4 linked regions of the Diceros bicornis minor genome follow. The protein of the gene in region 2 purifies or fractionates together with the protein of the main gene of each other region. This does not show direct contact. Links are inferred from orthologs where the notes say so. Each region holds a gene or a part of one and is shown on either strand. Other genes may lie near its edges.

Region 1 (7,191 bases), on a different chromosome or scaffold from region 2:
CTTCCTCACAAAAAAAAAACAAAAGAACAAAAAAACATTACTTCTATATACGCCATCACATAAAAGAAAAAAATTTCCCATTACCTTCCTAAGACTCCACAGCACTACTATACTATATTGCAAAGACCTGTCGAGATGGTTCCCTCTTCCCCTCAACCCAAACACCCTCCTCCCTAAGTACTGAGCCCTTAATAAGGGTGCTAAATGATTTACATAATTACCTCAATTCTCAAAACAATAGTAGGTACCATCATTATTCCCAGAAGAGAAAACTGAGGCTTAGAGATGTTTAAAAAAAAACTTGCGTGAAGTAATGCTTATAGAAGGAGGGGATTCTTGTGTTGTATAAAGGAATTTGCTGGGAATATATATTAGGCCTGGGGACTTTTGTTATGAGACAATTATAGCAGAAATTCTCAAACTGAAAATTTCACACAGAGAAAACAATTAAAGATATTTGGTCAAACTGTGGGTTTTCTTTGGAACTGCATACCTCACGATATCTGACACACAATAAATGCTCAATAAAAATCTACTGTCTGTTCAAACCTAAATTTTAAATAGTTAATTCCTAAGACAATTTGATCACATGGCACAATCTGATAGGGTATTTGTTTTAACTAGATTAAGTGGTACAATAATCAATAATTATAGCTACGCCTAAAGTAATGGCCTCATATTCTGAATGTGGTTTAGCTAATAAAGCAGGGGAAAAAAGTGAAAATGGTAGAAATAAGCTGTGTATCCTTTAAAGATAAGTTTTTCTAATAACAAATTCCATTCAAAATTTTAACACGTCATCTCAATTTCTACAATAAACACTCATTATTGACCTATTCTCTCATCTCAAAATAACCTATTGTGGGGGTTTTAGAATAGCCATGAAAAGCACTGTTCATGTAATCATTATTTTTCAAATAAGTAAAAGAAAAAATCTGAGTCTCCTTTGAGTACTGAATCAAAGCAAAGAATGTGCATTTGCAGAGTATGTACTTTAAGCAAACCTGTTTTCTGATTAAGTTGGACCAGGCACATAAAGAGACAAATATGTAAAAGCTGGTTGAGTTAACGCACTAGCAGTTAACTGATGTTTGAATTTCATTTCTGGAAAGATGAGTTCTATGAATATTCACTTTAAATGATTATGGGTAATCTATGAAGTCTTTCAGGTACCCAAACTTTAGTTTCCAGGGGGAAAAAAAGGGTGTGTTCCCAGGTAAATGATCATCTGGTGTTACACCGAAAAAATAACATACTTTTCTGTTCTCATCCCACACACGGAGTAGGGTTTGGTATTATGCAAGCACACAGCACTTGGGCAATCTTTTCGTCCTTTCTTCGAAAAATAATTTATATAATAATTCCTTAATTCAGTAGCAAAAGAAGTATTGCTTTCTCTCTTCCTTTTGAGGCTCAGGTTTCTTTCATTTCAAAGCACTACTCTTGACTTAAATTCTCTTTTTAAAAAAGATTTAATCATTTAACTCAGAAAGAGGGAGCAAAAAGTCAGGAGGTGAAACCAGAGATATTTTTATTAGTCTTATATAACTTACTCTAAGTTAGAACTGATTCAGTAGCTCAACTAAAACCTGAGGTTTAAGCACAAAAATAAGCTCTTTAGTATATTCTCCAAACACATAAAGAGTTTTAAAAATTGAAAGGATCTGTCTGTATTTTTTTTCTTGTATTCATAAAATATAAGCACTCACATGTATAGCAAAATAGGGTGCCAACATAAAAATGCTAAAATGGAAGAGCACTAAATTCATCCTATCACATCTAGGTACTGTAATAATTGATAGAATTGGATATAATTTCAGAAAATAAATTGATTTCCTAAATATCACCTCTGTAAGTATGCATTAAGTGTTTTTAGTAAATGCTGCGGGGAACATCAAAAACTGATTTTCAAAAGCAATAGGTATACGTTAACCCAATATGCAAACAGAACTCTGAAAATGTCAAGTTAACAGTTGTTCATGCTTAATTAAATTGGCTTTGATAACTGCAAATTACTCCCACACAATTTACACAAAGGACTGTCCTTACTAGAAAGGCCCTGATCTGAACTCAACTAAAAGCTATGTGTTAACTACCTCTCACCACTGAGACACTTGAGCCCCAGTGTAATACTGGCCACGGATTCCCTGCATTGCTTTGGGAATTGCTCCTTGCTTAATCAAGCACTGAACTGCAAATTCACCTTTCTAAAAAGACTGAAAGCAAGAAGCCAAGTTTCACTATCTAGTTTTCCGAAACGAATTAGGGTTTGGGATTTCACTGGGAATGACCACATTATCAAGATGCCATCACCCTAGGGTTTGGGATTTCACTGGGAATGACCACGTTATCAAGATGCCATCACCCTCCTGAGGCGTTTAATTACAATACCTCTCTGTTTTCCATTCAACCACCTCAATTAAATTTCCACTAGAACCAGACACAAAAACTTGATTCCGTGGCCTTGCTGAAAGTCTCCTGCGCGTGCAAACCCTGGGATCCCGAATACATTATGCAAAAACGGCAAAGGCATAGGAAAAATAAAGACTGTTAGACAATGTGGTGACATTACCTTGCCCGTCTTGTGATCAAACCAGACGAGAGCATGGTTCCTTGACAGCACTTTGCAATCAAAGGTAGCATTATTCTGCGCTGGTCGACAGCGGGCCACGGAGCGGCCGATTTTAATGGGCTCGTCCAGGTAGACATGACGCTCCTGAAACGGGTGCGAGTTCGGGCGGCAAGTGAAGATGGCCAAGGCTGACGGCATCGAGGACAGACTGGGGGTGTCTCTCCTATCAAGGGACAAAGAGGAGTTCCACCGGATCCGGACTGCCCTTCACAAGCCTATACCCCTATCCCCCCCAAAATTTTAAATTAAAACAAACTGTGCATTGTCTAAGCATAACCAGCGAACATCAACAACTCTTCTTCACTTGAGTGGGAAGACAAGCCAGCGAAAGCCCCATTACCTCCTTTAAAACCCAGCAGCGCCCTGATCACAAAAAGTCCCCAACTGGCAGCTTTCAGTCCATCTTCTTCCCTGGGATGAAAAGACTCAAACATCGGACAGCTTCGGCCAAGAAAACTCCTGGAAGACAGTTTGGAGATTGGAGGTATCCAAGCAGATGAGTCACACACCAATTCTTGTGTTTTGTTTGGGATCGCGGCCGCCTTTCCCCCTCGGTGGCGGAAATGTTGCAGCACTGCAGCATGAAGGAAGGGTCGGTTCGGTGCGGCCAGCAAGGTCCTTTCGCGCTGAAAGAAGGTGTAGCCGAGCACCTCTGGGCAGCCACTGCCCGTCCTCGAGGGCCTCGAGAGGGGAGAGACAGACGCGAGGGGGTCTAGACGGCCAGCGGGACAGTCTGCATGGCCCCTGCTGCGCGGAGGCCGCCCGGGAGGTGGCACGGGTCCCTGGCCCCGCACGAGCCGAGGCGGCGGTGGCTGGGTCCTTGGCGCGAGGAGCGGGGACTGGCGGGAGCGCGGGCAGAGGCCGAGTCGGGACTCCCCGACACCTGGCGGGCGTCCCCGCGACCAGGGCGGGGATCCGGCTCCGCAGGCCGGTGCGGACCGAGCGAGGCGCGACCCCGGGGAGGCTCGGTGGTCTCCGCCCGCAAGAAGTTGGTCCCTGGACGCCTGGGCTCCTGGCTGCTGCTCAGCACACCGGCCGCCTCCCCTCAGGGTCGCCCCCGCGAGGGTCGCATCTCAGGGACGGCAGCCGCAGCTCCCGGCGGACGAGGAGGTGGGGGAGGGAGGCCGGCCCGGAGGTTGGGGGAGAGGCCTGGAGGCCCCGGGCTGGGTCCGCCGCAGCCTCCACCACTCGCGGCCGCTGGGACACGCTCAGGCTGTGCCCGACGAAGCAAGAAACTTTCCGACCTGGTGGGGGAAACATCAAAACAAACGGCCGTCAGGCGCCGGTGCCCGCCCGCCTCAGCCCTCATCCCCCTCAACCGCCCCCCGCCAGCCCCCGCCACGGGCCACGACCTCGGCCGACCTCTCCGCAGAGAGGCTGCGGGAATTTGGAGCCCGGACACCACGACGGGTCCAGCCTCCCTTGCCGCCGCCGCCGCCTCAGCTTACCTTGCCAGCGCCGGCCGCCATAGTGACTCTGACTGAAACCTACCGGGTGCACCGCCACGGGAACGCGCACCCTTCAAGGGCCCTCCTACCCCCTCTCCCGCGCCGTAGTCCGGGGAAGTCACGTGATCGACGCCGCGGAAGCCATGACGGTCGAGGGCAGAAAAGAGGGCAAGATAATTTTCAACGATTCTCCGGGCGCCATCTTAGTTAAGGGCTGAAAGCTTCAAACCATGGGACAACCTTTTCGGCCCTTTTGGTTAAGGGCAAGAAAAAATTTGACCTGTTGAAGGTTTTCTAAACAAAACGTGCCAACTTCCTACTTTACCATCTTGGTAAGAAGGCACCAACTTTTACTAAATTTTATTCACTATCGTTCTTGTTGAAAATGGCAGCGAGCAAAGAGAACAGATCCATCCAAAGCAAATGTTCATTAGCAGCCATCTTAGCTGTGGGCAACACAGTCCCCCACAGCCGCCTTAGGTGTGAACAACCAAATTCCCACAAGTCTCAGGATTTGTGCATCTAAGATGACAAAGTCCGTCCTCTTCCTGCTAAAGTCTTCCCTGTGTATCCTACCCGGAGAAAAACTCTTTCTTAGTCCCCGCATTCTATTTCGAATGACCGCTTTTCTCACTGGAACTGTCATGTCCCTCAGGGCTCCAAACACAGATTCTACCCCAGAAAGAGTATGACTTAAAAGTTTAAAGTCACGTTGCTTCTAGAGAGATGTCATCAATTTACAATATGAAAAAAAGGGGGTGTGGCCCCCCACTCATGATATTAAGGTAGATGAGGAGTCATTGGTCTAAAGAAGGGAAGACTGCAAAATCTGAAAGAAAATTTCAAGAAAAGATGGTGGGAAGGAGTCATTCATTTAGAGTCAATGGTGGCTTCATTCTTCAGATTCCTTTGACAACAGGCTCCACCACTGTGTGACCTTGGGCAAGTTTCTAAACCTTTTCAAGCCTCGTTTTCTCATCTATAGCATGCAGATAATACATAACTCACCTGTTCTTGTGAGAATTCAAGACGATAATCCATGTTGCTCAATGAAGAGTAACTATTGTTCATTTCAATGCTTATTCATAGGCTTTTGGCCCTGTCCTAAAATCTGTGCTGAGTCCTAGGGGTGAACAAAACCTCAGTCCCTGCCCTCTAAGGGCTCATTGAGGTATTATTGGATAGGAATTTGGGGAGAGAGGTGACAAACATGGATACAAATAACTTCACTTTGATGTAATCAGGGCTAAGATGGAGGCAAGCACTGGATCCTAAAGGGGTCAGGGACAGCCTTCTAGGGGAAGTAACTGAACTGAATGAATGAAGGTAGGAAAACCACAATAAATATGGTATTTACTGAGTGCCTTCATAAATTTCCAGAAAGAGGGACTAGGAAGCAAAGGAACAAGGCTATTGAAACAGTGGACCAATGTGCCTGGCATATAATAGTGACTCAATAAATATTTGATACCTCAATAAAAATTACATATTGTTATTCATTATTACAGGATAAAGCAGGAGTGGCACAAAGTGAATCTGGAGACAAGAATATGCATTCGATTATAAAGCCTTCATATACTTTTCTAAGACTCTTCACTAATTCAGCAAATATGTATTGAACGACTACTGTGTCCAGTTACTTTATTCTGGAGAAAAATAAGGATATGTTCAAAAGTTTTCATATAAAGATGAAGAGTTTTCATTTTTGGTAACTTTTAGGCTTATGTGGAATAAAGTAATATAGGTCCCTCCACAAATCCCTGATGAGTTCTGTGCATGAATTTATAAGTGACTTATGCATTCCTTCATTCATTCATTCTATAAATATTTAATTGAATATCTACTGGGAAACAGATACTTTGAAAGGCCCTGGAAATACAACAATGAAAAAAAAAGATTCCTTTGAATTGCTCATAGTTTAGGTGATGACACAATAAGATCCCTGCCATAATGAGTATATCAAGAGTAATGGGGCCCAGCCCCAATGGTTAAGTTCGGTGCACTCCGCTTCAGCAGCCTCAGTTCTTGGGCACGGACCTACACCCCTTGTCTGTCAGTGGCCATGCTGTGGCACGGCTCACGTACAAAAAGAGGAAAATTGGCAGTGGATGTTAGCTCAGGGCGAACTTTCCTCAGGAAAAACAAAGAGTAATGGGAGCATGGTAGAGTAGTTTAAACTGAGACTTGAAAAATGAGTAGGAGTAGGCAAGCTAGTCTGGTAGTAGTTGGATAACAAAATTTTAGGCCAAGAAAATATTATAAACAAAGACCCAGAAACTTGAGAGAACAGGACCTTAAGGGAATTACAAGCAGGTCTGTATTATTGCAGTATAAGTGGAAGTGGGGGTGTTCAAGGAGAGGGGCACAGAAGTATGATTTCAATTGCTGGAGGATTCATAGGCAATGCAATAAACTTCAGAACATTTCCATCTTTCTCCTACAAGGTTAAAGTAGAGTAATGAAAATCAAGGTTTCAGAATCAGACGTTGCATCACCATTTACCAGCACTGTGAATGGTAAATTATTTAGCTTCTCTAAGTCTCAGTTTCTTCATTTGAAAAAAGTAGACAATACTTCACAGAGTCTTGTTAGGGTTAAATAAGATAACGCAAGACAAAGTGCCTACCATGATGTCTAGAAAATAGTAGATATTCAGAGAATGTTAGTTTTTATTATTATTACTAATAGTAAGAATTCCCCCAGCCTTCCACATACAGTAAGGAGCAAGTTGTATTATCCCTAATTTGTATATGGACAAACTTGTTCACAAATATGGAAACAAGAAGTGTCTCTTTACGTTCAGTTCTACTACAATCTCTCTTAAAACTAATGTTAAACAGAATAGGCTTTTTTTCTCCAAGAAAAGCTGGGATTGCTATAACCTGGAAGAGTAAACAATCCTACCAAGCTACACAGGGTGTGGAAATGCCAAAATGGCATTGAAGGCGTTCTTCACCCACTGGTATTCGGCAGGCATAGAAAAGGCTTAAATTAAGAAATCTCATACATGAGATATTTTGAATTCTAAGCCATGTGGGTGTTCCTCTCGATGATTCTGTATCCATACAGTATTTTAATTAAACAAAAAACATGTCATGTTTTGAGAAATTT
Region 2 (7,929 bases):
GGGCTTTTACCAGTACCACTTTGATCTTAATTTCAGCTGACTCCTTTAGTTTTTAGGCAATCTGAGTTAAAATAGGAATTTAATTTTGAGGGAAAAATCACCACCATATAATGTAACTTTCTATAGAGTAGTATTTCCGACAGACTCCAAAAAATCATGTTATTAAAAAAAAAAGAACTAAAACCTAGTCACAAAGAATTAAACAATAAGGTGATCTACATAATCAGGTTTGACTTTTCACTTTTCTCTTATATTCTTTCTACGCGCCTGCCATTCTTGACCTGGAAGGGTAGAGCAGGTATCAAGTAGACCAAGTGATGGTAAGGTTACTTCACAAAATTGCTACTAATCCCAGTACTTTGTGCTTCAGGTAACAAGGATCACAAGAAATAGTGAGTGAAACTGTATTTTTAACAATTCTAGAGCCACTACATATAAAATCTTTTTTTAAAGTACATTCTCCACAGAGAAGTCACATCATCACATCTATTTCTTTGCATCTTTTTGCAAAAGAAAATGAGGGGACAGATTTAAAACAAAATGAAATAGCTATTTTTATTTAGCTTTTCTTCATTTAATATTCATTGCGTGCTTATTTCTTGTCAGGACTTAACAGGGGTGGTATCTTAATACTCACAACCAACACAGAAGATCAGGAAATTTTATCACCTCTGTCTTACAGATGAGGAATCAGAGGTGCAGGGAGACTGGCAGCTGCCGAGCTGCAGGGCCAGGGTGTGAACTCAGATGGGCTGACCACCAGAGCTCACTGCAAGCAAACAGGACACTCCTCAGGAACATGGAGGATCAGGGTAGGGACGTAAAATGGAACTAGAGCCTAAGGTTAGAAGACAGAACATATATACCACAAAGGGACGCCACAGTTGCTAGAAGAGGGCTGCAAAACCAAGCACTGCTTAAAAAGGTAGAGAGCAAGGAATCCTATCACACTTCTCCACCCACCAGCAACTCCATCAAAGGGGTGGAGGAGAAAGATAAATGATTGTGGATTTTCACGTAAAAACTCATGTTTAGTGGATAAGTACAAATATTCAAAGAAAAAAGTGGGTAAGACATAAGCTTAAACATACCTATAAAGTCCTAGGGATTGGTAGTTCAATTATTTAGGAGCTGAAGTAAAAAATACTCTCGACAAACACAGAAAGCTTCCTCAAGTGATTAAGACTCAAGTGTGACTGAGTAGTGGTACAACATTCCTCTCTAGAAATACATCTCCAAATGATTAGAGCGTCAAAGGGAAAAGCTGACTCAGCTACTGACTGTGTCCATTAACTTGGTGAAGTGCATGTCTATGTTCATAGTGAGGTTAACTGACTCAGCTAATGTCAAAACTGGATATTTCACTCGACACTGGAGCTTGAGAGAGAGAGATTTAAAACGTAAATTTTAAGACATGAAATTATAGGTTATGACTCAAGGAAACTGAATGTCTACTTGAAGCTATAAGCAAACAGTTTTTTCAGAAAAATACCAGTTGTTCAGCAATTCTATTTACAGAAATAAATTTTCCTGTGTTAACAAATAGTTATTTAATATACAAAGGCCCTAGGCGACATTTACTTGTTAAAAACACTATTTTAACTTAATATTAGCTATTACTCCTCCAACCCTAAGATGCTTTATTTTAAGAGTGCCCTATTAATAATACTAACAACATTTCTGGGGCATCCTGACTTCCGAACACTATGATCAAGAAAGTTTTATAGATTATGGCTTAAAAATACAAACAAACCCAACAGCATTAAAGATTAAACTCGTTACTCCTTCCTGGACTTCAAATGAGGTCTTTTAACATATAAATGTATGAAAATTATTTAGTCCAGATTATAAAAGATGAATGAGAAAAACTCTAGACTTTAACGTAAATAAGATAGACCGTCTGAAATAATTCCAGTGGTTAAGAACAGTCGATACAGAATTCAGAATGTTGTTTAAGATCATACAACCAAGAACGACTGTAAACAACTAAAACAAATAAAAACTCCTTTTTCTTCGGAAAAGAAAGCTTTACATGTAATAAAGATGGAAAAGACTTTCTAAAAAGTGCTGCTCTGCACGAAAAATACATACCCCATTTATCATTTCAAGCAAGCACTGTTGCCAAACTTTAGACTTGCTGTTTTATTTCTGAAAATCAACATTTTGCTTCCAAGAGCCACTCAACGCGAAGACCAGTTACCATCTGTTTCAACCAAAGTCAACCTCTATTTTAAAAACCACAGCCTGCCATCACACCCACCTCTCCACAAACAAATGCCTGACGCATTCCAAGGTCGCGATTTTTGAAGGGCCCGATTCACCTGAAAAAAATCCTACGTTTATGAACAGGTTCGTTAATATGAGCAACATCCAGGTTAATTTTCGGTGCATTTTCAGACAGGAGGTCGCATCAGACTAAGTGGCCGCATTCCACAGGGCCGCGCTCGCTAGTCCACGCTGACCTGGAGGGTCAGGAACCCCCAGAAGAGCGTCGGTGACCCCATTCGAGCTCACGCGCGGGTGCCAGGTCTCCCCCGGCCACCCACAGCGGACCCCTGGGCCAGTAACGTGAGCGCAGCGCCCCGGGCCCCGGAACGGCCACCGCCGCCGCCGGGAGCACGGGCCCGGGGCAGGGCGGCCGCCCCCGCGCAGCCCTCCTTCCTCTCCTACCTTCTCGCACAGGGTCCGCACTTGGTTCTCGTTGAGCTGTTTACACTCGTTCAGCTGCTCGACCCACTGGTCCAGCTCCTTGGTGAACGCCTTGTCGTCCATGGCGGCCCGCGGCCCTCCCCCCGCCCCGGCGCCGCTCCCCGCTCCCGCTCCCGCTCCCGCTCGCCGCTCCGGCCGCCGCCGCCAGCTCCCGGCGGGAGAGGAAGGAGCCGGGGCGCGCGGCCGCGGGCCCCACGCCCCGCCTAAGGCAGCGGGCGGCGCCGGGAGCGCGGCCCCGAGGAGCCCCCCGGCCGGCCGCGCGCCCCGCGAGTCGCTGAAGGACGCGGGGCGGTGGGGGGCAGCGCGGCGCGGGGCTTCGGCGCAGCTCCCGCCGGACGATGGCCACCCGCCGGCCACTCCCGGCTCTCTCACCCCTTCGCTCTCGCTCTTTCTCTTCCCTCCCTCCGGGTTTCCGTCATCGCCCGGGCATTTCCGCCGGGAAAAGGGGAGCAGGCGGCGCCGCCAGGGAGCGGGATGCGAGCAGGGCTGCAGCGCCCCCGTGTGGCTCGGCGGAGAAACGAGCCGAGGGTCGCCCCGCTTTCTCCCCCTTCCCTTCTCTATGCCCGGTTCCCGCTTCGGGTCCGGACCAAGCTCTCCTGGTTCTTTCCTCACATCCTTTTCTCTGGGAACTTCGCCCCCACCTTAGTCTTCTGCAGTGCTTTTTCAGCGCTCTGGAGAGGGAATTAGGAAGCTTGTGCCTTTCCTCGACAACATTGTCTCGCCGGAGTCTAGCCCTTTCCCATAGCAAGCATTCAATATTTATTGAGTGAATCAATGAATTCTTTCTAGCCTTATCTCTGCTACTAGCTAGCTGTGGGGCCCTAACATCTCGAATCCCCGCTTTCAGCATCAGAAAGATGAAATGATTGTTCTGTATAATATGAAGCTGTGTTGTGCCAACTTCTTAGCTGTGTCCTTGGGCAATCACCGAATTTCTCCAAGCCTCAGCTTCTCCGTCTAACAGGGCTCAGTAAGGCTTACCTTTTCATGTTGTGAAGATTAAATTTTACAAGTACCCACCCAGTAAGTACAGTACGGGAGCAATGTGTTAGTTGCCTTATCCCTCCTAAGCCACAGTTACAGAAAGCTTTAGAAAGGTGCCATTTGAACTGAATTTTGAACCTTTCCCCAAGGCAAAACTTTGAAGTTGCCTGGAGAAGAGGAAAGAAGTTCCAAGGAATTTTTTTTGTGTGTGAGGCAGAGGACAAATGTGTGATCACGGTCCGTTTGGAAAGCTATACATATTCCTATCAACAGAAATAGGGAAATAAGGCTGGAAGAGCTCCTGCTCTCAACGGACTTGTAAATAGTAGCTAACCAATTGAAGAAGAAAACATGAAGAGGTAACGAAACAACACTGAAGAGAAGGGGCACCTGTATAATTGCAATAGACATTGCAGTCTCTGAGGTTAGTCTATAAAGGTTTAAAGGGGGCTGGATTTCAGCTAACCCTGGAAAGCTCAGAATGAAAATGAGAATGAGAAGGGCGTTTTCAGAGTTCCTAGAGAAGATGGACTGAGAACAGAAAATATACCTTGAGGAGAAATGGGAACTCTATGTTATAGTGGTTAGGGAGGGAGGTCCTTGAAATAAAAGCAAATGTGTTCGGAATAACAAGAGCGGATGTTCTTAGAGTGGAAGATAGGTAGGCAAGCTTGTGAAAATAGTGCTTCTGAAAAGCTTAGTCAACTTACACTGTAGAGCAAATAAAGATGCTTTTTTTTTTTTTTTTTGGTGAGGAAGATTTGCCCTGAGCTAACATCCTTTGGCAATCTTCCTCTTTTTTTTTGCTTGAGGAAGATTAGCCCTGAGCTAACATCTGTGCCAATTTTGTATGTGGGATGCCTCCGCAGCATGGCTGATGAGTGCAGTAGGTCTGCGCCTGGGATCCGAACCTGCAAACCCAGGCCCGCCAAAGGGGAGCACGCAGAACTTTAACCACTTGGCCACGGGGTGGGCCCCGGGATGCTTTTTTGAGTGCTTCCTATGTGCTAAGCGTTTTACATTTGTCTTCTCATTTAATCCTCCAGTAATCCTATGAGACAGGTGCCATTATTGCTCTCCACTTTACAGATGAAGAAAGAGACACACAGAAGTTTAAAAGCACACTCAAGTCACACAGATAGTAACTGGTGGAGTAAGGATTAACACCCAAGTTTGTCTGACTTCTACTCTGTGTTTTATGTTATATGAGCTCTACAGTCTGACGGGAGTAGGGAAAGCTGGAGATTGGTAGACCAGCCAAAGGGCTTGGTGATTGTAATATCAGTTTTTGGTATTTCGGTTGTGAAGCCATCTTAATTAAAAATAAAAACTATAATTCTTAAACTTCTTTCTTTCTTTGCTCTTTGCTTCTGTCATGTATGTATGTATGTATTATGTATGAATATGTTGTGTGTTTTCTCCTGTGGAACATAACCATCAATCTCCAATCCTTGCTAAGCATGTCATGCAAAACTGCATTTAATCTTAGGTTTGCAGGCCAGTTCTAAAGTTCTTTGTTTACCAGAAGTGTTCTCATTTTTACTTTGTTTACCTCTTTCCTTTTGGTCAAAGAATTTTAAAATCGTTGACTTCAGCAGATCCTTTGCCTTAAAATTACATGTTAGATTTTGTTCCTACATAATTGACTAAGTTCTTTTAAAATATATAAACATTGATATTTTTCTTGATTTAAATGGTATTATGCCATTTAAAAGTATGAAATATGAATCATTTATATTTTGTAACATATCCAGAGAGTTATATGCTACATTTAAAATTATATGTTGTATTGGTTTAAAAATGATTCTTCTATACCACCATATTCTCAAAAGACTAAATAAATATCTTTATTTCTAGTTCAAAAACTTTGACAATGGGAATGTGAATACGGTATTATTGAAATTGCTACAGGGAATTCTGCATCAGAATCCCCATCAATAATGATGAGACTAAAAAGACAAAGTCAAATTGGAAATGCTTTCTTTGAATTTAAAAACTATAAATCACTGTTAATAAAAAGACCACAGTTCTTTTCTCCTCTTATCACTCTACCACCCAAAAAACTTGGTTCTAAAAACTCCCTTCAAATTTATTGAGGAAGAGATGGAATTATTTGAAGATAAAGGAATCAGAACAGATGCTGTGTTTAATATTTTGTCCTTCTTTGTTGACCTCAGTTGGAGGCTTGGTTCAAATTCCCTAGCATACCACTGTGGAAGTGGAGTCCTTTATAAACATTTTATACCTAGCTATTCTATATTGTGTATCTGACAATTCCCACACTGCCAGTTCTTAAGTGACTAAAGATGTTTTTCTTGTTTCTGCTGACTCTTACTCATAGTGGCTTGCCTTCTAGTGTGTATGCATTCACAGCTTGAATGGATTGTGACAGTACTGTGGGCCTACCTTGGGAAGACTTTCCTCTAGAAAGTTTGCTTCTGTATCTGCAGAAATATCCAGGAAATATTCCTAAGCCAACACCACTTCAGCAAGAGTTTTGGCTCAGAATAGGAGTGTCAGCTCCCCCACCTCAGTGTCCCTGTAGCAGTGTCTTTGGGAATCCAGCCTCAGAGCAATGTCATTCCTTCTGGCAGCCGTGTTGTTCAGGTGAGCTCCCTGCTGATTTAGTCAGGCCATGGCTCTTGGCCCTGTGGGCTTAGTTTCCAGCTGTTCTGTCCCAAGCATCTAGTTCTTCTCAAATCTTCAGATGGCTCAAGCCCAAGATCCTTTCCACTCCAGCCCATGTCTACCCATTCTGGGCTAAATTCATGCTCGTTTATTTTTGGGAAATCCATGGAGATCTATCCTAATTTGTAAGACCAATGAAGCCTCAAAAAAAAAAAAAAAAAAAAAAAGGTGTCCTGTTCTGGGTCTAGTTGTTTTGGAGCAGGCAGTTCCTGTAGAGCTCCTGGACATTTATAACACTGAAAGTGAAAATCTATGTTTTAAATATTTAAAAATTTGTACAGCCATGTTGATGCTTTTTCCTCTATGTAATAGAATTTTTTGTAATCTCCCGCTGTGGGCTTTTAAAAGCTGAGGCCTACAATATTCTCAAGACTGACACAGCTCAGAAGTTGATTTCTCTGTCACCGTGGAGCTTCCATCCCTCCTCTGAAACCTGGGATACTTCCAAAAATAACTACTGGAGAAGAAGCTGTGGTCACTTCAATTCTGAGAGCCGCTTAATTGCCCCATCATCATAACTTCTGGCAATGGCTTTAATCTATTCTATTCAATTAGTTACTGTTCTCACTTGCCACACACTTTCTTGGCTCCATGCCTTAATTCATGCTTTACATCTACAGGAAGTACTTTTTTTCCTCCTCCATGCATGCATAAACCTGCCTCTATCATCAAGGACAAGTGTCAGGATTATCTTTTTCCATGAAGTCCTTTCTCTTACTGACACCAAAAGGAATTCATCTCTCTTTAAAAATTCATACCTTTGGGTCTGTCCTTTTTCCATACCACATACTTTCTAGATCATGTTGTTTATATGAATTTCTTCTTTCTTATTAGAATATAAATTACTTGACCGCACGATCCATGTATATTACATTTGTGATACCAAAAACGTAGGACAAGCCCTTTAGAGAGTAGGTGCTCAGTAAATATTTGTGAGTGAATTTGAGGAAAGTAGCAAGAATGAAAGTAAACTGCTGGTCTGACTAAAAGGATTAGTTTCAGTATTTAGGATTGATCCACCACTATGGAAAGCCTCAATATTTGTTTCATCTTCTTTCTTTTAAAAGGTACATTTTTGCTTTTGTTATGGTTTTGATGCCATATTTTTCATTCTAGCCAACACTGGTAGAGCAGGGATTGTTAGCAGTCTAGCCAGTACCCACGGTACCTTTCTTAACAATTCTGTTTGTAGTGAAAAATGCCCTGCTTAAAGAATACCTAGGAGTGGCCGTGTGGTGTTATTCTGGCAAACGCACCGTAAGGAGAACTAGCTGAGTGCGGCTCTACGGGAAAGCTTGTTAAAGGGAGTAAACTCAGAATGCTCCTGCCTGGGACTCATTGCTGGAGATGGAACAGCCATTTTGAGGCCACTAGAAAAAAAGCAAGAGGCTACAGGCCACATGTTAGGGATGGCTAAAAAGAAAGAAAAACGAACTTGGGTCCCTAAGGGCAATGTGAAACCAGGATAGCCGCTCTGCTTGCCTACTCCAGACTTAGGAGTGAAGAAGAAAACTCATATTTGTTTAGCTACATTTGGGGGTTTTGTTA
Region 3 (7,232 bases), on a different chromosome or scaffold from region 2:
TCTGCCGTATCCTCACACGGAACGTAAGGATACTCAAGGCAGCCGTTTCTGACAGAGGAAAACTGGAAACTACCTAAAAGTCCATGAACAGGGGTCCAACTAAATGAGCTATGGTACAAACATCCAGTGGAACACAGTCATCAAAAATGAGAGAGAGGGGCCAGCCCTGTGGCGTAGTGGTTAAGTTCGCCCACTCCGCTTCTGCAGACCAGGTTCGTGGGTTCGGATCCCGGGGGCAGACCTACACACCGTTCATCAAGCCATGCTGTGGTGGCGTCCCACATACAAAATAGAGCAAGATGGGCACGGATGTTAGCCCAGCAACAATCTTCCTCACCAAAAAAAAAAAGAGGAAGAGCTCTCTGTGCTGACGTGAAAAGGACACCAAGACCCACAAGTATGTGAAAAAGTCACAAAACGATACATATAATATGATCTCATACGTTACACAACAAAGCTGCACTACTTTTATACTTTTATAGCAATGAAGTTGGAGAGGAGAGCTGGAGAGAAGAGGAAGAAAGGGACGGAGGGGGACTTCCTTTTACACACAGACACACACACACATATATGTATACTTACATACACACACATTTCTGAGACCTCTGAATGTTCACTAATGTCACAGAACAAAAGAAAACAAAAGTACAGAGACAGTGATGATGTGGAGCCTAGAAAAGGAAGAGCCTTCTGGGTGCCATCCACGAGTTCCACTCAGACTCCCAGAAGGGCCACTAAGGGAGGGAATAACACACACCTTTTCTCTCATCAGTCTCAAAGATGAGAAGGTGGTGTGGTGGGTGCTGTAGGGTGCACCGGCGTGAAGTCCCAGAGCCTCGGGTTCACTCCCGGGTCTGCTACGACTGCGTGGATGACCCTGGGGAGGCTGCCGAGCTTCCTGGGAGCAGTTTGCTCATCTGAACTGGGCGGCAGAGAGCTATAGAGCATGAGCTTGAAAGCCCTCAGACTAGCCCTGCCACCCATGGGCTGTGATCCTAGGCAAATCACTGACCCTCTCAAAGCCTCCATCTCTTCTTCCGATTATTTTTTTAAAATGTGGGCCGGGGGGGGGGGGGGCGGTAATATCACTCACCTTTCCAGAATGTTCCAAGGATTAAATGATACCATGTATCTAAAAAACTCAGTCCAGGCCCTGGCACATAACATGAGCTCAATAAACAGCAGCTGCTGGCATTTTTGCTGAGAGGGCAATGGCACTCGTGCTGCCCACATAAAGGGGTATTGAGAAGATCTAATGAGCTGTACCCTGGGAAAGAGCTCCGGAAGTAGAGCGGGATGCAAAGGCGAGGAGCACTTACATAAGGATTCCTCTCCCACCCCAACCCTCAGCTGGCCAGACGGCTAAGATCCTTAGTGGGGCTGGGAGAACTGTGGAATGCTGTCTTTATTCATCCTATTCACAAAATTCTAATCAGTTATTTATTTGAGTCCCCAACTCAACCAGATAGGAAACCTCAAATCAGAAAGGGAAAGATGGGCTGCTAGAAGCAAGTGCTGACTTCTGCTAATAACACACCAGCCCAGGAACGCTCCGACTCCTGGCAGCCCGTCCCTGGACCCCTTCAAACTCTCAGAACGCTGATGTCCAGGCTCTTTGGGACACTCTCTGCAAAGGGACCCACACTTCTCAAGGTCACAAAACCCAGCCCAGCTCTTCAGGCTCTTCCAAACATCATCCCAGCGCACATCCCTCTCCCAAGCTACTCCACAAATCATGAGGTCCTTTCCCGGAAACTTCCACAAACACGTCCTTCCCACCCCCCCCACCACCACCCCCCCCGCCCCCCAAGGTCGTTCTGACATGCTTCCTCACGCTGCCTTCCTGCTCTGCAACACGCTCCCCCTGCCATCCTCCAGGGGCCCCCGGATTCCTCCTCAGTGTCCCCATCCCACGGTGGACAAGCCTGACCCCTCTCACTCCAGTTCAGAGCCCCACCTGACATCTACACACTCCTCCATCTCGGGGCTGCAGCCCCCACTCTTCCACACCCCCAAACTGGAGTTTCGGCTCTCAAGCTCTCCCACACAGGCTCCCAGGGCAAGTCCTGGCCCCGTCCGTGCTTCCACCGCAGGGACCCTTCCCTGCCCTCGGTACGCACACATGCCAGGGCTCCCCAAAGCTCCCTCCTCGGAGAGGAAGGCACACACCTCCATCCCGGGACTCCTCGAGAGCCTCTGCTCCTCCCGAGTCCTCCCACAGCCGTCTTTCAGTTCCCGTCTCCAGACGCTCAGAAACACACCCCCTCCCAGGCTCCCCGACTTCCTCTCCCGACTCAGGCCGGTTCCCCCACCCCGGACCCGGCGGGTCCCCGACGCCCCGTCTCTCCCACCTGGAGCCCATCAGGCTCCACCTCCAAGCGCACCTGGTGGGCCGGGGCTGGGAGAACCCCGCACCCTCTGAGCTTTCGCTCCCTAACTCCTCCATCAGCCCCCAACTCCTCCATCACTCTGGGCTGAGTTCTCTGGGGCTGCCCTGGGGGGACCCCGCCCCGGCACCCCCCGACCGGCCAGCCCACTCCCACTCCAACCGGCTCCGGTCCCCCGGCCTTCTCTCGCCGGACCCGGCCGGCCCCTCCCGCCCCGGGGTCCCCTCGGCCGCGAGCCGCCCGGGGCCCCCGGGACCCCCCTGGGCCGGCCCCTCACTCCTCTCGGGCCGCCGCGGCCCCCCGCCCCCCCGGCCGTCCCGGCGGCCATTGCTCCAAGATGGCGGCGGCGGCGGCGGCGGGTGAGGCCGGGCCGGGCCGGGCCGGGCCGGGCGGGGGGCCGGGGGTCCCGGGGCGGCGCTCACCTGCAGCTCGGCGCGCTCGGCCTCCCAGCGGGCCTTCTCCGCTTCGAAGCGCGCCCACTCGTGCTGGATAAAGTGCAGGATCCCGGGCAGGCTCAGGGGCTCCGGCCCCGCCGTGGGCCCGGGGCTGCCTCCGCCGCCGCCTCCCTTAGCGGCCGGGCCGGGCCCGGGGGACGGGGCAGGGGCCGGGGCCGCGCCCGTCGGGCCGGGGCCTGCGGCGGAGCCGAGCGGGCGGCAGGAGGAGGCGGCGGCGGCGACCGCGGCGGCCGCTCGCTCCTCCATCATGGAGGCCCCGGGGCCGGCCCGCGCGCCCGCCGTGCCTCGCGCGCCTGCGCGGCCGCGCCAACCTCCCCCCCCCCCCCGCCCCCCGGCCCTCCGCGCGCGCTCGCCGGGGCTGGGGGGGTGGGGGCGGAGACGGGAACGAGGCCCGGCGCGCGCCTCGCCCACCCGGGTCGACCCCGACGGCGCGCGTGCGCGCGCGGGGGGCGGGAAGGGGGCGCGCGCCCCGAGGGGGGCAAACGCGACCCAGGCGCCGCGCGGGGGTCGCCCCTGGGAAGAGCGGGACTAGGGGAGGGGTCGCTATGTGCCCCCCTTCTCCCTCTTCACCCCAAAGAAAGATTCAAACCCTCTCCAGACCCAAATCCCACTCTCATCGACAGTCAATGTCTGTCACTCTTTGAGAGAAAGGGCGACCACCATCCTCTCTCATTCCTGGCCAGGGGCGGTTGTCATGGTAACCTTTCCCCAGCTCGGAACACCCCAGCCTCCCCTCCCTTCCCCTCCACCTTTGTGGTTATGGAGTCCCAAACCTTTCCTGTACCTGCACCAGGAGGAGGTTGCTAAGGTAACCTAAGTCCCTTGTGGTCCTTCTTCCCCTACCCTCATTGGTTACTATGACAACCTCACCTAGCACTCAGGTAAAAAGGGCCCCAGCCCCAAGGACACTGATGGCTGAGGGAAACACTTCTTTCCTAACCCCTCCCCCCAGCTACTCAGTTGGCATTACCATGGTAACCATCTCCCCCCTTCCCCATCGTGGGAGGTCCATGGACCAAACCCAACAGGTGTTTTTATTTAGAGAAGATGCTCTGCTGAGCAGTAGTTGCTATGGTTACAGAGCCTGGCCCATCCCCAGAGACGTGAGAAGCAGGCAAGGCCAAGCCCTGGTTACTATGGTAACGGGGGCAGTCCCCCTTCCTGTGACCCTTGGAACTAGGCCCACTAAGGTACGGGATGTTTTATGATTGTCTCTCAGCATGGAGTGTGTCTAGGGGAGGAGTTGTCATGGTAACACCTTCTGTCACTTCCAGCCCTACCTTTCTGGACACATTCATGAGAGGGATGCTTAGAGGTTGCTATGATAACTAACATCCTTCCCTCCCACTCCTAAGATGCTCCAGGTGGTGCCCAAGCTTGTGCGACTTCAAAAGAAATGATTCCCTGACCTTCTCACTGCCACTTTTGTAGATAAGATGAAATTGTGCTCTATTGTGCAAAATTGGCTGATTTGAGGTTTTCTGGTTCTCCTTCCCTCAGCAGTGCAGCTGAGCTGGGCTGGAACCACCTGCCTGGAGCTCCCCCAGCCTGCAACCTAGGAGGTAAGAAGTCCCCCAGTGTCACCAGCAGTCACATGGAAACTGCCCTTTCCTTGTCCCCAAAGGCTTTCCCACATGTCGCTTATTTTCTCTGCCCATCACATACCCATTCTACAGATGCAATAACTGAGGCTCAGGCCAGGTGAACCCAGGCCTGAAGTGAATCTGGATCCACTTAGATTGTTTTGGGGGGAGTGGAGAGACATAGCTTAACTGCCCTTAACTTACCACCTTTTCTCTGTCACGCCCCCTGCTGGTTTCCTGCCCTATCTGTAAGTTGTTTGTGTGGTTCTGTCTGTCTTCCTACCCCTGGAGGGCCTGCCCCATGACTGCCTCCTTCATCACAGGGTCCGGCTCAGAGGGCACTCAATAAACATCTGTTTGTTGAGTGAATGAGTTGAATGAATTATTTAATGTGCCATCTTCAGCTTTGAAAGCCCCTGTCCGGTTAGGGCGGGGGAAAGCTCACTGAAGATGGACCGAGAATTGGACTGTCTGAGTGGACCCAACAGAGACAGCAGTTTATTGGTTGAAAGCACCACTTTGGAAGCAGCTTCTTGGGTCTTCTTCCCAGCTGTGTGACCCTGAGCGAGTGACTTCACCTCTCTGTGCCTCAGTTTCCTCATCTTTAAATGTGATCGTAACATGAAGATGCAACAAGTTAATAGTGTAAAGTGCTTAGAACTGAGTCTGGCACGTCATGAGTGGCTAGCATTGTTGATATTGTTATCATCCTATCATGATTCAGAAAGATGTCGAACGTTCGGACCTTCAAAATCATCGTTTCATCCACTTTGCCCCAGTGAAGAGGTTTTGAGCCCTTACAGTTGGGGAAGCTGAGACGGACCTTGTCGGGGTACTAGATGATTCCTTGCTCTCTCTTCTCTGGTCCGCTCCCCTCCTCATCTGGCTCTCATACCCGCTGCTCTCCAAGGACCTGGTTTCTGTCCTTTGTCCTGCTGGGCACCTCCTGGCCCGGAGTCAGCCAGACAGAGCACAGCAAGAGCCAGGGCCTGGAAGTGGAGACCCGGCTTCTGCCACCTGCCTCCTTTCTGCCTCTGAGCCACAGGTTCCCCATCTGAGCAACGGGAGTCCCTCCTTCATTCCACACAAATGATGCGTTTGGTGGCCGGTGTGTGTGGCTGGAGCTGAGTGAACGAGTGAGAGAAGACGGGGGATCATGCGGGGCTTTATGGGCCACCGTGAAGACTTTGGGTTTTCCTCGGAGTGAGTTGTGAGCCACAAAAGGATTTGAGCAGATGCAGAACAAGATCTAATTCGAGTTTTAACCAGATCCCTCTGGTGCTGAGTGGGGAACAGATTATAGGGGATGAGAGTAGAGCAAGAAGATGGTCACTTTAGAATCTTTAGAAAATTCTAAAACTATCTAAGGCTCTCTTCTGTGCTTCTGTGTACCTAAGCTCTAAGATTCTGAGATTTTTAAGACCTCGAAGACTCTGTGGTTCCAAAGGCCCCTCCCCCCGTAATAATGTGAGTTCCGTGAGGTCAGGGGTGTTGTCTGTCTCTGTGTGTTGTGTGTCCACCGCTGTGTCCCCAGGGCCTAGAACAGTGCTGGCGTGTTGTAGGAGCTCCACAAATAGACATTGAAGGACTGAAGGAAGGAGGGATCAGTCTAAGGGCCAGAAGGCAATTCCAAGGTTCTGAGGATTAAGAAGTCGCTCTCAAGGTGCAACTCAGATTCTTTTGTGTGTGTGTGTGTAACATCAGCCCTGAGCTAACATCTGCCAATCCTCCTCTTTTTGCTGAGGAAGACTGGCCCTGGGCTAACATCCATGCCCATCTTCCTCCACTTTATATGGGACGCCGCCACAGCATGGCCGGAGAAGCGGTGCATCGGTGCGCGCCCGGGATCCGAACCCGGGCCGCCAGCAGCGGAGCGCGCGCACTTAACCGCTAAGCCACGGGGCCGGCCCCTACAACTCAGGTTCTTAAGTACCAGCCGAGCTGGGGCAGAGAAGGGCATGTGGGACTGGGATGGGTGAAGAGGGTGGGAGAGAGAGGAGGCAGGAAGGCCAGGGCAGGGCCCCAGGCCCATGGCCACAGTGCGGAGTGTGGCTCCAGGGACCTGAGTGGGCTTTACAGACACACAGAAACCCTGACCCTCGCCATCAGTTTTTTGCCAAGTGCATTTTCAGTGCCCAGCCGTGTGCTAGGAACACAGCGGTGATCGAATGGCCCTGGCTGTACCCTCCCAGGTCTCACAGTCTAGTGGAGCAGACAGACCCATCCCCAGATGGTGCTGAACCAGAATAGGCAGGCCCGGAACGGGGGGACCCCAGGGGCTGCGAGAGCCCAGAGGGGACTTCTGACCCAGCCAGGGGTTCAGGGAGGACTTCCTGGAGGAGGGGCCATCTGAGCTGAAGCCTGAAGCATGAGTAGGAGCTTTCCAGGAGAAAAGAGGAATGGGGAGACGGGATGTTCAAGAGGAGACTCTGCTAGGCAGAAGGAACAAAATGTACAAAGACTTAGAAATAAGACGTGTTGGAGGAGAAGTCCGAGGTGGCTTAGGCATAGAGTTTGAGGAGCCATGGCGGGAGATGGGGCTGGGATGATGGGCGGGTCAGGGCCAGGTCACACAAGGCCTTGTGGGATGTTGTAAGATACTTAAAGTTTCTCCCCAGGGCACTGGGGAGCCATGGCAGGTTCTGAGCAGGGGGGAGAGGTCAGATTTGTGCTTTGTGAAGACTCCTCTGGCTGCCATGAGGAGGGGACTTGGTCAGGAGACCAGGAGGAGGCTGAGTGGGGCTGTGGGTGGACCCAGGCTGAGGGAGGGGAGCTGTGGGAATGGGGAGGAGGGGTCAGAAGTATTT
Region 4 (8,128 bases), on a different chromosome or scaffold from region 2:
TAAATAGAAAAATAAGAGCTTTCTAATGTTAATCACAAACTGAGCAGTAAGAGAAAATAAAATTGACTTTATTGATTTCATCACCACTCACAAGATCAATTTTTCATCATTTTTCCTCTAGGCATATTTACAAACATCCTAGAAGGTCTCAGAAAGAATTAGTCATTAATTTTGTTCACTAGAAGTTCAGGTAAAATTGTATTACAATGAATACTATTCCACTGAAAAATTGTTAGACCATGAAAAGATTTCCAAGTTTTAGATAACCAAATTCCAAAACTGTATATAAAACATTCTGGCATCCCTCTGAAATTGGCTGAAATAAAATTTGAGCAAAGATAATGTTTGGTAGGAGTATAGGTGAAATTCTTCTTTTAAATTGTCTACTTTCACAGAGAACATCTATCACAATATTTATATTCCATATAGTAAAATAAGACTTAAATGCAAATATATACAAATACACTTTTAAATGACTGCTTAAAATATATTGTTTAAACAGCTTATTTGGCCAGGCTACTACAGACTGAATTTATTTGACTTAACAAGTTCACATCTCTATGAAGTCTTGCATCTTTTGAAATATGTTAAATGGCAAATTGCATGGCACAAGTTCAGTCCTTTCCACAAGATTAATGTCTCAGCAACTATACATAAAAGTTAGACTGCTACACAATCTTTAAGAGTCTCCTGACCACTGTGTATAGTAAGATACATTTTATAACTTCCAAAGTAGAGCAAATACTATTTTCCCTCTCCCACTTTTTACTTCCAAATTGTCACTTTTAGTTTTCTTTTTTTTTTGTGAGGAAGATCAGCCCTGAGCTAACATCTGATGCCAATCCTCCTCTTTTTTCTGGGGAAGACTGGCCCTGAGCTAATATCCGTGCCCATCTTCCTCTACTTTATATAGGACGCCTCCACAGCATGGCTTGACAAGCAGCGCGTCAGTGCGCACCTGGGATCCGAACCGGTGAATCCCGGGCTGCCGCAGCGGAGCGCGCGTACTTAACGGCTTGCACCACCGGGCCGGCCCCAGCCACTTTCATAGTTTTCTTTAAGGTGAATCACAACATAACTAGTTCACACACCCTCCAGTAATTCCTGACTCCTAGAAGCACATTAAATTTTAGGAGGCACACAAAAGAGTCATTGACTCCTTCCAGAGCTACTGCCTTTAAATGAAGGAGAGGACGTTAGACTGTGTTCCAGGACATGCTGTACCAATCTTTTGCCCCATGGTAAAATATGTTCAATGTAACTTCACCTCTAACTGCTAACTTTCTACCTAGTAAGTTTTAGCAACTAATAAGTGATTCTCACTTCAGTATCAGAGAGACATTTCACAACAGTTATTTTAAAAATAAGAACTAAAAAAACAACAAACCCAGAAAAGCTATACTTAATATAAGATGGTATGCTGGAGAGAGCACGTGGCTTTGCAGTCAGATAGATGCCAGGTCTGCATCTTCCTAGTTGTGTGACTTTGGACAAGTTTTCTTATCTGTGAAAGGGGGATGACGACATCTAACTCATTAGGTTGCTGTGAAGACTGAGTTAATAAGTGGAAAACATCTTGCCAAGTTCCTGATATAAGCTGAACAATGGTTTAATCATTAATAACTACTATCTTCTCTTCTTCCAAAAGAATTCTAAGAAAGGCATTCCCAAATCTGGGGGCAGCCAAGATCAATGACCTCAGAAATAGCTTCAGCTGCCCTTTTGTAGTTGGGAACCACAAATGAAGAAGGGTGATAGCATCCTGGAGTGAAGAACGGTGAAGGATTTAAACTACCAGTTGAGTCACACTGGTTTCTTAGATGAAACCCTTCTCCCTCTTCCTGATGGTTTCATGTTTTAATCTCTCTCTGAGAGATTATAAGGCAGAGGAAAAATCCTATCATTTTATGCCCTTCCTCTCTCCTCCTATGATGTTAACGGAAATAATGGGGACTTGGTAAGGAGGCTCCATAAATACCCACTGCACTGAGTAAATCAACTGGATGGACAAGCACCAAGGTAGGAAGGTAGGAATAGAACTAAAAATGATAGTGTTCACACATATTACTCTTTTTTCCTTCAATATCTTCATAGTCCTTAAATATTCTTATTTAGAGATCCAAAGCTGTGGCTTAAAGAAGCAGTATGATATGAGGAAAACTGGGAGTGAGGAGTGCAGAATTTTAATCTCAGCTCTGCCACTAAACAGCTATATGGCCTTGAAGAAAAAAATTACCCAGTTACTCTGGCACTGAGTTTCCTCACAGGTAAAATAAGACAGACTAGATAATCTCTAAGGTCCTTCTTGGTTCCATTCTAAGCTTTCATGGGTAAAAATCAAGAATTATGGTAAAAATCAAGAATTATTTGTTAGAGAATCCTGTTAAATAAGAGTAAGAGGTAAATACACAAAGAACTAAAACAGACTGTACCTAAATCAGTCTTTGATCTGTTGTGATAAATATACATCCTCATAAAAATTGAAGTAAAATTGAAACAATCTGCATAGTTACTTTAATTATAAAGCAGTCCAGCCTAGGCAGGAAAAATTCTATTCTTTGTCAATGGCATAAACAACAATATTCTTGTTATCTTTACATTTGTAAATCACTTCTGTACACCAATTTTAATACCTGGAACATTCTGCTAATATGTACCAACTCATTTAGCTTACTGTCTACATGAAGTGAATACAATACAAATATGACACAGGAGGAAATAAAGGGCCACAGCTGTATAATTAAAAAACCAACAGGTCTGTTTTCCCATATTCCCATAACTTTTCTTTATAAATATTAAAATTTAGCAGTTTTTTACATTTGTATCTAATCTCAATACACAAAACATTGCAATAAATTTTTGTCAGAAATATAAATGAAAGATAGTAAAACTGCATTATGTTTTAAGATGGCAGTGATATTCCTGGGGTGGGGGTGGGGGTGGGGATGGGGGTGATACTGACCTGATTATTGGCAGTCACACTTCAGTCCTCAAGTATAAATTCTTAAGGTTTTCTTCAGTTACAATTTGAGAAAATTGACGAATATATTTAAAATGCCGTCAGCATGGTGGAAAAGTGTCCAATGCTGCAAAATAATAAGAAATTTATTGTCTGTGTGACCACACTACAAACAATTTTGTAAATCCCACGAATGTCAACCGTCATTACAGGTGATGAGGCCTGACAGCTGTAGGTTGATACAGACAAGAAAGAAGAAAATAGCCACTTCTTCAAATTGAGGCTAAGCAATACAGGAAAAACACCAGGAATCTGACTTCCCTTTTGCAATTATAATTAGGAAAAGTGAGAACTTTCAAAATCTTTTTTACTTTAAGATGTCCACTGTCATTTCAAGGACTAACTTATGAATGTCACTAGAAGAGACTGACTTTCTCTCCCCGTATTGACAAAAGCCTATTTGCTTGAATCACCATGACGTATGCACAAGGCACTCAGATAGAAAAATAACATAATTACAACTGAACTTTTTAAACTGCCAAATTCGCGTAAGGAGAATTCTCATCTGCTCACCTCCTGCCAATCAATAAACAAAAAGACAACCTGTCACCATCTCAACTTTGTCTGTAAGGGTGATCATTCATCCCAGCTTCTACTTTTTCCCATTTATTTTAAAATATTAAATGTTGAATTATATACAAATTTTTTTATGTTTTCATAAGAGTGTATTAGACCCAGCAAACTTTTAAAAAAATTATAGGCTTTAAATTTTATTTGATAAAACATAATTTTTGTCTCGTATTTTAAGGCACCAAGTCTATTGGACTCTACTTTCTGCCCAACATATAAATCATGTGGCCCAATATTTTCAGAAAAAGGCTGTATCTAACTCCATATTCATTATCAGAAATATGACTGCTAGATTTTTGGCATGCCAGGTTGTAGTCTACAGAGTCATTCTCTACTTATTTTGTAAATGAGCTGTTACTTGTCATTGTCATCATCTAGTAAGTAACTTTGAAAGACAAGATCATTTCAACCAGATGCTCAGCTCATTCCTTCCATTAGAATCTCTCTAAGACCCAACTTTCCTTAGAGTTTAGAGGCAGATGTTTCTGTCTAAGGAATGCTACAGTCTATAAATTTGAAATGAAAACCATTTGTGGACAAGTTGTCTGGATACATTATCATACCCTGTGGTACAGCCAGCTGTAGCTATATTAAGCTTTATAGTTTTCTCAATTAAAAAATACATATAATAAAAAAGATAAAGTTATAGATATTTTAATACCCTGGAAAAATAAGGCTATTTATGGGCTAAGTAGGAAACTTGTTTTTAAGTCATCAGTAACTGATTTCAAACATGAGTTTGCCCAGCATACCATTTGGTCTATTCACAATCTACTTCCCACCAAGTCAGGGCCAATAGCCAGGAGGGCAGAAGTCTCTTCTATATGAACTTTCACGTGCCAACGGTCACAAGAGTTATGGCTATTAAGAAGGGCACCCTCCTTCCCACCCTCCCAGCCTCCTAAAGGGCAGTGCTGATTTTGCCATGGAAGTATGCTGCTGTGGCCTGGGCTCTGTTCATTTTATTCTGACCTTTTCCCTTCTCTGGATAATACCTAAGCTCCACTCATTCTGGTTGTGGTTGTGCTTTTTCCTTCTTGAGGAAGTCCCAGCTTTTGCTTTAGAACTCTGAATTAATTCTATAGGATAGCAGGCATTGTTGTTGTTTTTTAACACATAGAGATTGGGTGGCAGAAAAAGAAACACCCCAAACAGCTTCTATAGCTATGTAAGCAGTAGGGCAGGGCAGGGTGGAGTATAAGTAAGATGTTTGTCTATCTAGTATCTGGGTGTGCGTATGTCTTTATGTGGAACTGAAGGCTTTATTTCTAAGTGGTGGGTGATATGGGGCATGGAAGAGGGAAAACAACATTTCTAGATGAGTCTTGGATATTTCTGGACATAGAAACACCTCAAAAAAACTACATTTTTTTTTTAAATCAACTTGGCTAGAATAAAAAACAAATCAGTTGTTTTACCCAGGAGATCACTCTTGCAAAACTGGATAAAAATCACTTCTTTATTACATACTCAGACATCAAATTTAAGAAATTTATACTTGGGCTACAATTGACTGAGATTCAGGCCATTCAGTAAGTTTTTAGTATTAGTGATAAGATATGGCAAAGATATAAAGCAAGTCTGCTCCAATTATGTAGACTCTTTCACATACATATAAACAAAACCAAAATACAGGAGGCCAATTAATTCTCAAAATTCAGAGTCAACACTGACATACAAAATGGGTGTTTTTTGACAGCTTTCCACTAGATAACGTACTTCCTTAAAAACTTAGTATATATGAAATTAAAAAAAAAATAAACATGTCACATTTATAAATACTAAATCTAAATATGGACAAAAATGCACTGCTATTTTTAAAAATGTATCCAAAGCAACCTCCTATTTAGGGGTGGAAGGTGTTGACACATTACCTTGACTATCTCAAAAGATGTAAGTTTCCCCACCCTCTGGCACTTCTGGTTTTTCAGAAGGGTTATTTATGCATTTGGGGGTAAGAGAGTGACAACATTCCAAACTATACCTCTCATTCCACTTGTGGCATTTTAGGATTAGGCTAGGGAAGAAAAATACGTCAAAAAACTAACAGAAAATAATTTTCTGATCAAGAAAGCAGATCTTCTGTACATTTACTAAAGCGAGGTGTTTTTGCTATTATTATTTACAAAGTTTCTAAAACCAAGGTGTAAAATCTCCTTTTACTGAATTCTACAATACTAAGCAATGTAAGCTTTACTACAAATGTCAAATCGATCTTCTTTCAGTTGAAGTTAACAGGTATTACGGGACTATTTGGACTTTTATGTGTCTATGTATTATAATGTGTTATGGGCTGATTTATGTCCCCCCCGCATTTCATATGTTGAAGTCCTAATCCCCAGGACCTCAGAATGTGACTGCATTTGGAGATGAGGTCTTTAAAGAGGTAATTAAGTTAAAATGAGGTCATTAGGGTGGGATCTAATCTAATATAACTGGTATCCTTACAAGAAGAGGAAATCTGGACACAAACACGGGACAGGGAAAGACCATGTGAAGACAGACGGAGAAGACAGCCATCTACAAGCCCAAGAGAGGCCTCAGAGGAAACCAGTTCTGCTGACAGGTTGATTTTGGACTTCCAGCCTCCAGGACTGTGAGAAAATAAATTTCTGTCGTTTAAGCCACCCGGTCTGTGGTACTTTGTTATGGCAGTCCTAGCAAACTAATACGACATGCTAATCATTTACTACTTTTAAAGACCATCAGAGCAACTAGATCTAGCCTTCCCCTTACCACAAGACTGCTATAACACATTTTTCAGAATGCCTTGCTTTGTCTTATCAGTCTGCTTTTTCCAGCCATACTATACGTAGCATTATATAAAACAGAATGGTTTTGAAACACTTTTAGAGATTATCAATTTCAGGATCCTGAAATATAATATGAATAGTACACTTACAAAGAAATTACAACAGTGCTAAGGGATCGAGATGCTTGTTTATCCAGTACTGTCAATATAGACTTTGAAGTAAGCCTTAAGAAACCAGTTCTGTAATAAAGCTAATACTCTTTAAGGTCAACATTGAAAATACTTTCAGTACTCTATTCAAATACACAGTGCTCTACTCAAAGCAGATTCTAGGATAACAGATTTTCTGGATTTATGCTTAGTACAGAAATTAATGATGATATAATTGAGCTTATCAACCTTAATTACCACTACCTCAGAGTTTTATAACATAGTTTTCTAAGAATTCAAGCAATAATAGTAATAATAAAAAGATAAACATTTATTGAGCTAAACATTAATATGTTCCAGGTAGTGTTCTAAGTACTTGACATGCATTAATTCAGTCCTCACAACAACCTTAGGTGATGGGGATTGATGTATAATCAGCACCAATGAATTCATCGTCATCATCCCCATTTTACAGATGGGAAAACAGGCACAGAGGCTAAATAACTTGCTCAAGGTCTCACATCTAGTATATGGCAGAAATGGGATTTGAACCTTGGTAATTTGATTACAGAGGCTTCCTTAGTAACCACTGCTTGGTAACCACTGTTTACATCTGATCTTCTCATTTTATCAGCCTTAGGAATTGTGTAGTGGAAAAACCTCCGCTAAAATGTGATTCATAAAGCTGGAAGGGACCTCAGAAATAATCTGATTCAGCACTCTCATTTTATAGATGAAAATTGAGGCCACAGTTGTTAAGTGAATTACTGAAGATTATAGTTAAATAGTAAAACTAGGTCTCACACTCATGTCTTTTTAAGATCCAGTCTAATCCACTTTCTGGGACACCATGATGGGTATCAGCTTTTTGTTTTGTTTAGCTCTGTTTTAAGACTCAGGCATCTCTGGCGTATCTCAGTGGGTGTGTGTGAATGTCTGTCTCTTTCTCTCTCTCTGTGTGTACATCTGTTTCTCTCATTGTTTCTCCTATATGTTGCCAACAAGATTTATATCTATATTGAAGAAAAGGAGGAAGTGGCCTCATGCCCACAAACATTCAAACACCTTTCCCCCAAAATGAGGACATTTAGCACAACGTTATTAAAAACAGGTCTGTCTACCTGTGTATCTGTTTACACTCTTTCAAGTATTCTCATCTGAGGCAAGACCAAACCAGAAGAACTACATTAGTTAAGCTACTGGAACGTATGTTAATGAAAATGATTAATAGTTTTTGCATTAATTTTTTTCATTAAAATAAAAAAAAGTCTTTTAACATGAGAAAATTACCAGAAGTATGAACCATTTCAAGTATATTTGTCAGTTGCTTTATTTAGTTTAAATGAAATTACAACATGATTTCATTGAAATATGTATATCTGTCTATATCATCTATCTGTCTATCATTCCCCTAAATTTTTGCGTTTTCTAAAATAATGTCACTATGATTTGTAAAATACCACTATGAGGGAAGAATAACATGTAGATTGATTTTATTTCCAGTAAAAGGATTCATGGGCCACAATTCTAGAGACAGCCCTGGAATACAAAAACCCTTTAAATGTTAATGTAGGATGAAGTTGTTGACTCCATCAGGATTCCAAACTGAGAAGAAACAGAGCGTATGGTATGGTACG

The links.
Region 1: the proteins of PPP2CB (region 2) and SLMAP purify together in Homo sapiens (affinity purification with mass spectrometry; 3 studies listed by BioGRID and IntAct, counting the BioPlex papers as one, with this or other methods). This does not show direct contact. The link is inferred for Diceros bicornis minor from reciprocal best matches to the Homo sapiens genes PPP2CB and SLMAP.
Region 3: the proteins of PPP2CB (region 2) and STRN4 purify together in Homo sapiens (affinity purification with mass spectrometry; 4 studies listed by BioGRID and IntAct, counting the BioPlex papers as one, with this or other methods). This does not show direct contact. The link is inferred for Diceros bicornis minor from reciprocal best matches to the Homo sapiens genes PPP2CB and STRN4.
Region 4: the proteins of PPP2CB (region 2) and CTTNBP2NL purify together in Homo sapiens (affinity purification with mass spectrometry; 5 studies listed by BioGRID and IntAct, counting the BioPlex papers as one, with this or other methods). This does not show direct contact. The link is inferred for Diceros bicornis minor from reciprocal best matches to the Homo sapiens genes PPP2CB and CTTNBP2NL.

Annotation. Positions count from the first base shown.
Region 1 is NC_080741.1:57,749,944-57,757,134, reverse strand, and holds the start of SLMAP (sarcolemmal membrane-associated protein), read right to left. Parts: upstream 3,063-7,191; 5' UTR 2,771-3,062; coding exon 2,573-2,770; intron 1-2,572. UniProt on the Homo sapiens protein: Associates with the striatin-interacting phosphatase and kinase (STRIPAK) core complex, forming the extended (SIKE1:SLMAP)STRIPAK complex.
Region 2 is NC_080768.1:28,480,230-28,488,158, forward strand, and holds the start of PPP2CB (serine/threonine-protein phosphatase 2A catalytic subunit beta isoform), read right to left. Parts: upstream 3,071-7,929; 5' UTR 2,773-3,070; coding exon 2,671-2,772; intron 1-2,670.
Region 3 is NC_080773.1:22,277,095-22,284,326, forward strand, and holds the start of STRN4 (striatin-4), read right to left. Parts: upstream 3,107-7,232; 5' UTR 3,092-3,106; coding exon 2,810-3,091; intron 1-2,809. UniProt on the Homo sapiens protein: Calmodulin-binding scaffolding protein which is the center of the striatin-interacting phosphatase and kinase (STRIPAK) complexes.
Region 4 is NC_080743.1:45,208,996-45,217,123, reverse strand, and holds the start of CTTNBP2NL (CTTNBP2 N-terminal-like protein), read right to left. Parts: upstream 3,098-8,128; 5' UTR 2,963-3,097; intron 1-2,962. UniProt on the Homo sapiens protein: Regulates lamellipodial actin dynamics in a CTTN-dependent manner. Associates with core striatin-interacting phosphatase and kinase (STRIPAK) complex to form CTTNBP2NL-STRIPAK complexes.